Linked DNA regions of Macaca mulatta. The protein of the gene in region 2 purifies or fractionates together with the protein of the main gene of each other region. This does not show direct contact. Links are inferred from orthologs where the notes say so. Each region holds a gene or a part of one and is shown on either strand. Other genes may lie near its edges.

Region 1 (4,945 bases), on a different chromosome or scaffold from region 2:
AACTTTTGCTTAAAGGGCCAGATGGTAAATATTTTAGGCTTGTAAACAATAGTTTCTGTCACAACCAGTCGACTCTCCCATTCTAGCCCGAAAGCAATCACAGACAGTATGTAAAGAGGCATGGCTGTGTTCCAATAAAAAAATTGAAACAAAACCTGTGACAAAACATTTGGCTGGCCTATCAGCCAGAATTTACTGATCCCTGATCTACAACATTCCTATTATTCTTGAGAGCTCGAAAAGTACTATATATGCAGTAAAGATTGTGAGCCACAGTGCATTATCAGGTCATCCGTCATAAAGTTTCATAACTGAAAGATCTCAGATATCATCCAGTCCAATAATTATCCAAATAGATGCATAAGTTACTTTTGGAACTTTGCAGAAATACACATAATTGGTCACTTCCTAGAGACCAATTTAATCAGATTTCCTAGGGTGACGGAGATAATTCTGAGGTGCAAATCTAGTTAAAAACCACTAGGCTGAATCCTATGCCCTCATTTTGCAGACAGGCTAACTGCAATCCAAAATGGTCAAATGGCCTACCTCAGTTTGTAAACCTAATTAGTATTAGTGGCCGGTTTTCTACCAGAATATATATATAGCTGACTGTTACAAATTCTGGCCTTGACACCACCCCAAAATACCACCTACAGCTATAAATACACTCCTACTATTACCTATTTCAAGGAGGAGATCCAGAAACATCAGATTTTCCAAGGTGATAATGCAGAGTCACTATTAGAACACAGGTCACATTAGTCTAGGCAACAGCTTTTTCAAAATTTATCAAATTCATCTTTTCTTCCCCCTTGTCATTATTACCTTAGCATAAAAGCACCTCCATCAAGTCTAGATTACTATAACCCCTTCCTTAAGCTACTCTGTAAACATCAAACATCTTTGCTTTTTTAAATGTGTGTGTGTGTTTACATCAGATAGCCCTTATTCCACAGAAGATTTAGGACAGCTTATTCAAACCTATAATAGATACCTAAGCCTAACATATCCATTTTATGGCTCAATCCAACTCATATGGTCTTGTTTTCCACTTCTACCCAACATATTCAACCTTCTTAAATCAGGTTTCTGCTACCGACAAATGTATGTGTTCCTACTTTGGTTCCTTTGCTAAGTTACTTTCTATGTCTGGAATGAACTTTATCTTAGTCTTTAAATACCTAACCTATTCAAGGTCCACCAAAGTTACACTACAACTTTAAAGCTTTTCTTAATATCAACAACACAGAATTCCCTAATTTCTCACATGGCTGTCTATACTGCAAGTTAATGCCTAATTATATATAGGCGTACTCTCTCTGACACACAAGTCATTACTTCAGTATTATAAGTACTAATTTTTGTCCATTAAAGTATTTCACAAATGTACATATACATCTTCCCAATAGAAATGAAAGCTTCTTGGAAGCAAAATAACATACTTCTGTGCCCTATCGGACCTACTAAAATCACAGCTCAATAAACAAGATGTTATTCAAATAACATCTTCACTTTTAAGAACATGCTTTTCATCCTATTACTAGTAAATATTTAACTAGAAAATTTACTTTTTACAGGTTTTACAACTAAAAGAAGGACCAAAACAACCCAAATAAGCATCCAACAAATAAATGCATGATAGCATGTATTATTTTTGTTTTTGCCCCACTGAATAAGCTACATCCTTCTAATTTTACCATTTGATTCATTCTACAAAATGCTTTTCCCATGGCAGTCACTTAGTCAGAACTGAGATTCCCTCTTCCTGTTTCCACTATTTTATCAGGTGAATTTCTTTTTTCACAGCCACAAAGTCATTGCACTGCTTGCATTAACATTCCGTTAGTATAAGATGACTACCCTTAATCAGTGGGCATAGAAATCATTATTTTAGTCACAGGTGATAGTTTTTCCTTTCTTCATTTAAAAATCTATTAACGATGAGAATAAAAATAATCTTAAAAGCTTAAGTATATAAATCACCTGGAAGGTCGACAAAATCTTCTTCTGTAGCCATTTTTGAGATGATCCTGAAAGAAAAGTAAATCATCCATTTGGTTTAAGATATAGCAGAATAAAATTTATTTTCAAAGTAACTTCATCCAGCATGGGCATGCTATACACCAAATATCTCCTAAGGGCTCAAAACAATTCTAAGGTTATGATAGGCATTTAAAAATTGAACGGCCGGCATCTGGTAAGCTTTATTCCGCTTCTCTCCCCACAGTGAGAATGGCTTTATTGCTTTTTTCTGATTATATATAATGTAAACAATATATGTGCTCATAGTAAAAAGTCTAGATTATATTATTCTTTCATACAACTCTTTATGTTTATATGTATAACGTCACACAATGGGAGATCATCGAAGCTGAAGAAGAGGAGATAAATTAGAAAAGAAATGATACGGGTTTGATATAGCAACCATAACCAAAGTATGAAATATAGAATAGTGAACACCAAAGAAGTCCAGAAATATGTAAACAAAATATGAGTTGCCGCCCCCATTAGTCATTTACAGCTTGTACCTTTTAACTAATAGCTGTCTTTAAGAACACTGTCGATAACTGATGCTCCATAAATCAGCCTCAAGAACTGCATATAAGGCCACCATTTTGACAGAAGAACTGAAAACGTCAAACTATTTCGGGACATACTTGTTACATAATCTGTTTCTCCCAACTAGCAAGTGTGACGCAAAGGCACATTTTTAAGGCGTTTCAATACTTCTACCATGGGGAGAAAAGTATTTGGAGGACTAGGAACTGGAGCTAGACTAAAAAGCAGACGCCAAGATCGCGCCACTGCACTCCAGCCTGGGGGATAGAGCAAGACTCCGTCTCGAAAAAACACCCCAACAGAAATCACAAGCACCTCTCAAGAGTAAGACGCAGGCACAGACGAAGACACGAAAACTTAAGAAATAATAAAAGTACAGTAAATTAACTCCGATTATCGATACACGATCACACTTGATTTCAAAAATTCCTCCGGCTTTCCCACTGAAATCCCTCATGGACCACAGCCCCAGCCTAGCCTTTCCTTCTCCCCCTCCTCGGGCGCCCGTGTCCCCAGCCAGCCGCTCAACCGCTTGCCTGGAGCGCGAGGGCCCGCACTTACCAGACCCGACGCAGCCATGTTCCGGCCCCGCTGAGCCAGCGCAGGGGTCTGAGGTGGAAGCCCACACGGAGCACAACTCCAGGAGGCCGAGCAAGAAATGAACCGCCAGACTACCAGGCGGCGGCCAAGCAACACCCCTAAGTCGAAGAGGACGGCCGGGAGCGCTGGGATCCGGAAGGCGCGCGCTAACAACACTTCCCCGCCATCAGCTCCGCCCTCAAAAAACAAGAACGCTCGGCGCCTGCATGGGTTTGAACCCAGCCGCACATGCGCAAAACGGGCTGCGCCGTCCAATAGGAAGCAAGCGGTTAGTGAGCTCGCCCCTTCTTGCTCTAAGCCAATGGCCCTCCCGCCCGCAGCTCCGCCCGCCCTATCTCTAGCTGCTCTGCTCTTCCCACCTCCCTTCCACAGCGCCGCGTCGGGGACAGGCGCGAGAGTGGGCCTTTATTTGGAAGGCGCGGTCCTGGGAACCGCTCCTTGTGCCCAATGTAAAACTTCTCAACAGTTCTATTAAAGAATAATAAGTAATACTTGGAAGGATGAGAGGTAGAAATTGAAGACTTTTTTTTTAACAGAATCTTTTTGAAGAGATTTTTCTAATGCAAATTCGTCAGCCACGCCCAACCCATCTAACCATCATCTCTGAAAATAATTGAATAATTATGTGTAATAATGGTGATGATGGCTTGTATTCTTTTTCAAGTATGTGGGTGATGTTTTTATGATGCATTGCCAACAAATGACCCACGTAAATAGCTATCATTTAAGTATGATGCACTGAAAAGAATTCTATACAGAATCCTGAAACCTGCCAGCCAATGACTAGCTGTGTTATGGGGAGAAAAATTTCGGCACCATTCTGGGTGTTTCCATAGTGATAGAATGGAAGTCTAACTTAGACGCTCTGAAGACTTCTCACCTGACCAGTGTATGATTCTATGAAGCTGTGTCTTATTTTATTATTTAATTTAAAATTACAAGAAAATTCTAATCAGAAAGTAGTTTACTCATTGAATAAATACATTAATCAGGAGTTGAGCTAATAGATTTTTAAAACATGTAGTGCTTTAATAAATGCTGTCACCTATGAAAGCCAATTTTTTATTTTATTTATTTTTTTTGATAGGAAAGAAAGAGGAACTATGAACTCTGACAGAAATTAGGCCTAGATTGCACTCCATTCCATTAATTCTGCCATTATGGGCAACTAAGTTATCTGTTCCTTAATTCTCTTGTCTGCAAAATGAGAATAATATTAAGTGGTTGAGATGTTGTAATTGAATAATTCCTGTTAAGATCTACACACAATGTTTGGAACAGAGTAAGAATTCAATAATAAAGCTATTGGAATCATTATGGAGACACTTTTACTATGTTTGGCAGTTTTGCCAATCAGTCCACATGATATATAATTTGGTACTATCACATTTGGAATAGATAGTAATAAACACTAACATTTATTGAGTGCATACTCTATGCCCAGTTCTGTAAATGCTTCGCATGCATTGAAGAGAACAATTAATATTCCTGTTTTATAAACAAGGGCACTGAAACACAGAGAGGTAAGTGTCTTGCCCAAGATCACATCACCACTAAATGGTAGGATGGGATATTATCCCAAGAATTCTGACTCCACAACTGAGCTCTTAATCACTACACTCTTTGCCTCTGGGTAAGAAATTTTAGCAAGCACACTTATAGATGTAAAGTCCCATATGTAAAATTATATCCTCCTGCTTCCACTGGAAACTAAGTCCCACAGAGGGTTTTGAGAAATTTGAAATGCAATGGCTTGTGCTGCTGTAGAATGCAGGCCACACAG
Region 2 (4,739 bases):
TTTTAAAACTGAATTATTGTCCTCAGTTTTCCTCGGAGAAATGGCTTCATTATTAATCTTTCTTTACCAGATAAAAATACTCCAATCACTACTTTCATAAAGGAATTTAACTTTTCACAGGTTAGCTGCCGAAATAAATACTACAGCATGCCAAAGACAAAGTCCTCAATGACCATTTTAATGCCTTCCCACCCCCATAAACAGAAAAACAAGCAAACCAAGTACGTTGGAATATCAAAATTATTGGGAGTGCAATTATCAAAAAAGCAAGCACTTCATTGACTTTCCTCACTGACTTTTTTTCATACCAACTTTTGGCTCAATAAAACCACAACTCTAGAAATCAAGTGTTATTAGTCATTTGACACAATATTTGATACTGCTTTCTATGCATAACTAAAAGTACAATTTTAGAGAAAGTTTTAAGTCACATAAATTTCATGTGTAGAGACCCACATACTCTGAAATCAAAGGAAATGCCAGTCACATCACAGCTCACATGTAAAAACCTGGTAGAATAATTTTAAGGTCTTAATAACCCTGACAATTTTAAATAAAGTGGGAAAAGTAAAAGTAGTGTGTATGTACTTTAAGTGCTGAAAGAAATCTGTCTCCCAGACAGCATTCAATTATTTTCTTCAGAGGCTTTTTTTTCAAAGTTACATAAACATTTAATTTTTTGTTCCTATATATTTGGATGACTGTCAGTAATTCATGCTAATAGTAGACTGCTTTGGAAGTCACAAAAGAATTTTTTCCATAATTATCTTCTGGGCAAGCGGGTTTAGCCTTAGTAACATTTTTATCTTCCAGTTTAGCCTTAGTAACATTTTCAATTAATGCCAACTTCAAAATTTGCAAATACTGTTTTAAAATAATATTACTGACTTAACAGAAAACTAAATTTTGGGAGGCTACTTCTTCAGTAAGTTTTATATTCATTTCAAAACAAAAACTTGGGCAAAATTAACTGTGCACATGTATATGCAGCTAACATAATCCAAGGGAATAAAACCTCTCCCGATATAAACGTTGTCTTAAAAAAAAATCTTCCCCACAATTTTTAGCAGGACATATAGACACTGCAGTGTCACGCTACCTTTAGACAAAATGCAACTGATACTTGCTAAGAAATAATTTTTATTAAAAATACTCTGCTAGTACTTATGCAATTACATAATTTTAACTAAATATTGTCCACTGCCACAATTCGCATTACCAAACTCATATTACCAAATTTTAGGCCTTGATAGAGCCTAAATGCTTCAGTCACTTCAGACCAATAACTTCTGTTTTCACATACCTTATACACTGGCCTACCAATAGCTCTCAATTCCTGTCAATACTTTCCATTCTGCAAAATGAGGGCCCCATCCCCATCCCTAATCAAAACCAGTCTGTTGTACCTGAAACTGCAAAGATTCATGCTTTTCGATGACCACTAACTTTTGAAGCCCGAAGGCCTAACTTTTAGACAACTAAAGCTATACACTGTTAAAATTCTTGGGCTTCTGTCTTATTCAACAAGCTGACTCAGTAAATTTAATACACTGTATGAAAAAAGCTAACATACCTACAATCTAAAGCTGGAGTAAACTTCTCTTGCCAGCATTTCTGGATATTAGCTGGTAAAATTCACTTGACATTCTACACAAATCACTGAAATTAACAATACCAAAAGATGTCAGAGAACCTGAAATCTAAAAACGGTGAGCAGCAATTCTGGCATCACAATACTTAAATTTCAAGCATGAACTGAAGTTTTATCTTTGCAATCTTCACTTGCCACACACAATACCCTTGAACCTACACATTGTCATCTGGGATCAAAAACTACTCAATATCCATTCCATGTTTATGACAAGAGCACTGAACATTAAACGCTACTGAAGTGCAAATTTCAAGCCCTATCCTACATCATCCCATAGGGAGAGAAAAAGGTAAATATAACAAAGATCTAGTAAGAACGCCTTATAAGGTATATAATGGCATTATTGATTTCAAACTACAAAACTTCTAAATACAGTCCAAAGTTGTAACTTAAGTGTAAAACATTAACAAAACTACTTTTTGCACTCAATGTGCACCATATATACTGAAAATTATTCTGCTTCTAAAGTTATGCAAATCAGTCATATTTTAAAAGAATCTATCAATGCAACCCAGGAAACTAAAACAATCACTGCAAGATTCTGATGCAATATGCATACGTGCAACACTAATTTTCATTTTATTCTGATCTAAACCCTTGATCTAGGGCCTAAGCCAAGATTTAATCGAAATATGCTCAACCTCAAAGCGTCTACTTTTTTGTTCATTTAGGAGACCGGATTACCGAGCTCTCTAATCCACTAACAGCATACTGTATTCTGTATTAACGGACAATAGCCCTCAGGAAGAGACCGTATAGACAGCCTAAGCAAGCAATCGGTGCCTCGACACTTGCAACCAGGCAAGAGTTCCGTCTAGCCGAACACACCCTAGGTTGAATACAAGAAAAGAAACACAAAATATATGACCTAGCAACCCGACCAGGGTTAAATGTTATAGTCGCCCAAACTAGGGACATTTTCGCATCCGTCTACTCCCACGTTCTAAGAGAGTGACAGAAAGGCAAAGAGGAGCAGCCGCAGAAATGGATACAGGTCAAGTCTAAGTCGAATCCATCCTCTTGATATCTCCTTTTGTTTCTGCTAACGATCTCTTTGATGATGGCTGTCATGTCTGGGAGCCTGTGGCTGAAGAAAAAGGAGGAGAGAGATGGCAGAAGCTGCTGGTGGCGGGGCTTCTTCTGCAGGATGGAAATGGCTCTGGACTTGGCGGTAGCTGATGCCCCTCGCTCTGCCGCCGCTTGGCTCTGGACCGCAGCCGGGTAATGGCTGCTGCGGCGGCTGCTGGATGGTTGCAGCGACTGGGCCTGCTTCTCCTCAGCAGCCAGAGGCCTGGCAGCAGCGGCAGCGGAATGGGGAGAAGACGAATAATCCTCGGAACGGCTGCCTCCTCCGGCGGCCTCCGGAGCCCGGGCCACGGGGGGTGCGGCGGCGGCGGAGGGGAGGTTTAAAACCGGCCCGGGTCCCTGGATGTGCCGCCGCCGCCGCCGCCGTGTTGGAGGCAGTAGAAGGGGAGAGACCAACTCTCCGGCGTTCCCAGCCCTGGAAATGGTGACAGGCGACTCAGACTCCCTCCCTGGAGCTGCAGCCGCCGCGGCCGCCGCGGCCGCCGCTTCTCCCCCCCGCTCCAGGAGCGGGAGGTGCCGCCGCCGCCGCCGCGCCTCAGCCGGCTCCCGCCCGAGCCCACGGCTTCCACCTTCCCCTTCAAGAGAAGCTGAGGAAGCGGCTGCACGGTTAGAAAAGACGAAGAGGAGGCGAGAAACGCCGCCGCTGCCGCCGCCGCAGGCCGGCCGGCTCCCCGAGGGCGCTGCCCCCGCGGCTGCTCACAGGCGCTGAGAGGGGCTCCGGGCCGCGGCCGCCGCCGTCTCTCATCTCCCTCGCCTGAGCCCGGCCTCGCCTCACAGCGGCTCAACTCTCAAACTTCCATCATGGCTGCAGCTTCCGAGAGGAGAGAACTGAGCGCAGCCGCGTCCCGGCGCCCGAGCGCGTATCCTGCCGCAGTGCATAAAGAGTCCCGCCACATCACCGCCCGCCGGCCTGCCCGCCCCCTCCGCCGCCGCGCCGGGAGCCCGGGCTCCTCGGGAGACCGAGGGGAGGCGGGAGCCGAACGAGAGGCGGACTGGACCGTGCCGGGCGAGGGGAGGGCAGGGCAGGGGGCGGTAGGCGGGGGCAGGAGCGGTAGCTCCGGGTGCGAGCGCAAAGCCCCCAAGCCGTAGGCTCTACTGAGCATGCCCAGTGTGGCTGCCTAGAGCTCGCTCGGGCCGGTTCCGAGCCGCCAGCCTGCAACTGCACTTGCCGCGGCTGCTTTTGCAGCAGCGCGAGGCGAGGATAACGAGCTAAGCCTCGGCCTCTGCCCAGAAACCCAGCCGGAGGCAGGGTAGGCTGTTGCGGGGCGGGGGTGGAGGACTGATGATGAAAGCTGAGATGGGTGCGTTGAGCAGTGTCACTGACTCGAGTCTCAGGTTACCTGTGCACAGGTGGAAAGGACCAGGTGACCACGCTGGTCAGTATACAGGGAAATGCAGGGACGGTCCTTGCAAGGGGAATACCCTCCCCCCTGCCTCTGCCCCTGGATTTCCGCGGCGTGGACTGCATTCGCTCTTTTGCATCGCTGTCGATCACAGTCGTTCGCAGAGATTTGACTGTAGCAGCCTTTGCCTAGAGATTCCTCCTTTCCCCAACCCTGTGTCCTCAGGATGTCAGTCTTAGCACAAAGAGCAACCTGCTATTGTGTTTCCAGCGTGCATCACCTCATCCGGCTCCCTTGTAGCGCCCCACCTCTCGCTTCCCCGGTAACTCGGCTTGTTTGCCCTAAAAATGAAAGCTCTCAGCCGAGCGTGCTGAACGTGAACACATCGCCGTTGAATTTCCAGAGCCCAAAGGGCACCTATCTAAATGAACTGAAAGAGGATCCCCGTGAGTAGGACGCACCCCGCAGCCCTCTCCTGCGCCCGCTCCGGTGCCCCTAGGAGACTAGAGCATCTCTCCCCCTCGGGCTCCAAGTCGGTTCGCCGCGTCGGACTCAAGCTCGGTTCTTAGAGACCACCTAGCCCCGCCCCCCCCTTGGCCTCCGTGAAAACCCGGCGGGATGGATCGCCCGGGGCCAGGCTCCACGCGCCCCGGCCAGAC

The links.
Region 1: the proteins of PTEN (region 2) and CENPC purify together in Homo sapiens (affinity purification with western blotting; 3 studies listed by BioGRID, with this or other methods). This does not show direct contact. The link is inferred for Macaca mulatta from reciprocal best matches to the Homo sapiens genes PTEN and CENPC.

What each region holds. Positions count from the first base shown.
Region 1 is NC_133410.1:65,937,886-65,942,830, reverse strand, and holds the start of CENPC (centromere protein C), read right to left. Parts: upstream 3,350-4,945; 5' UTR 3,142-3,349; coding exon 3,124-3,141; intron 2,642-3,123; exon of another isoform or gene 2,532-2,641; intron 2,034-2,531; coding exon 1,987-2,033; intron 1-1,986. UniProt on the Homo sapiens protein: Component of the CENPA-NAC (nucleosome-associated) complex, a complex that plays a central role in assembly of kinetochore proteins, mitotic progression and chromosome segregation.
Region 2 is NC_133414.1:99,938,846-99,943,584, reverse strand, and holds the start of PTEN (phosphatidylinositol 3,4,5-trisphosphate 3-phosphatase and dual-specificity protein phosphatase PTEN), read right to left. Parts: upstream 2,913-4,739; 5' UTR 2,723-2,912; coding exon 2,644-2,722; intron 1-2,643. Other genes in the region: KLLN (killin), read left to right, coding at 4,699-4,739. UniProt on the Homo sapiens protein: Dual-specificity protein phosphatase, dephosphorylating tyrosine-, serine- and threonine-phosphorylated proteins.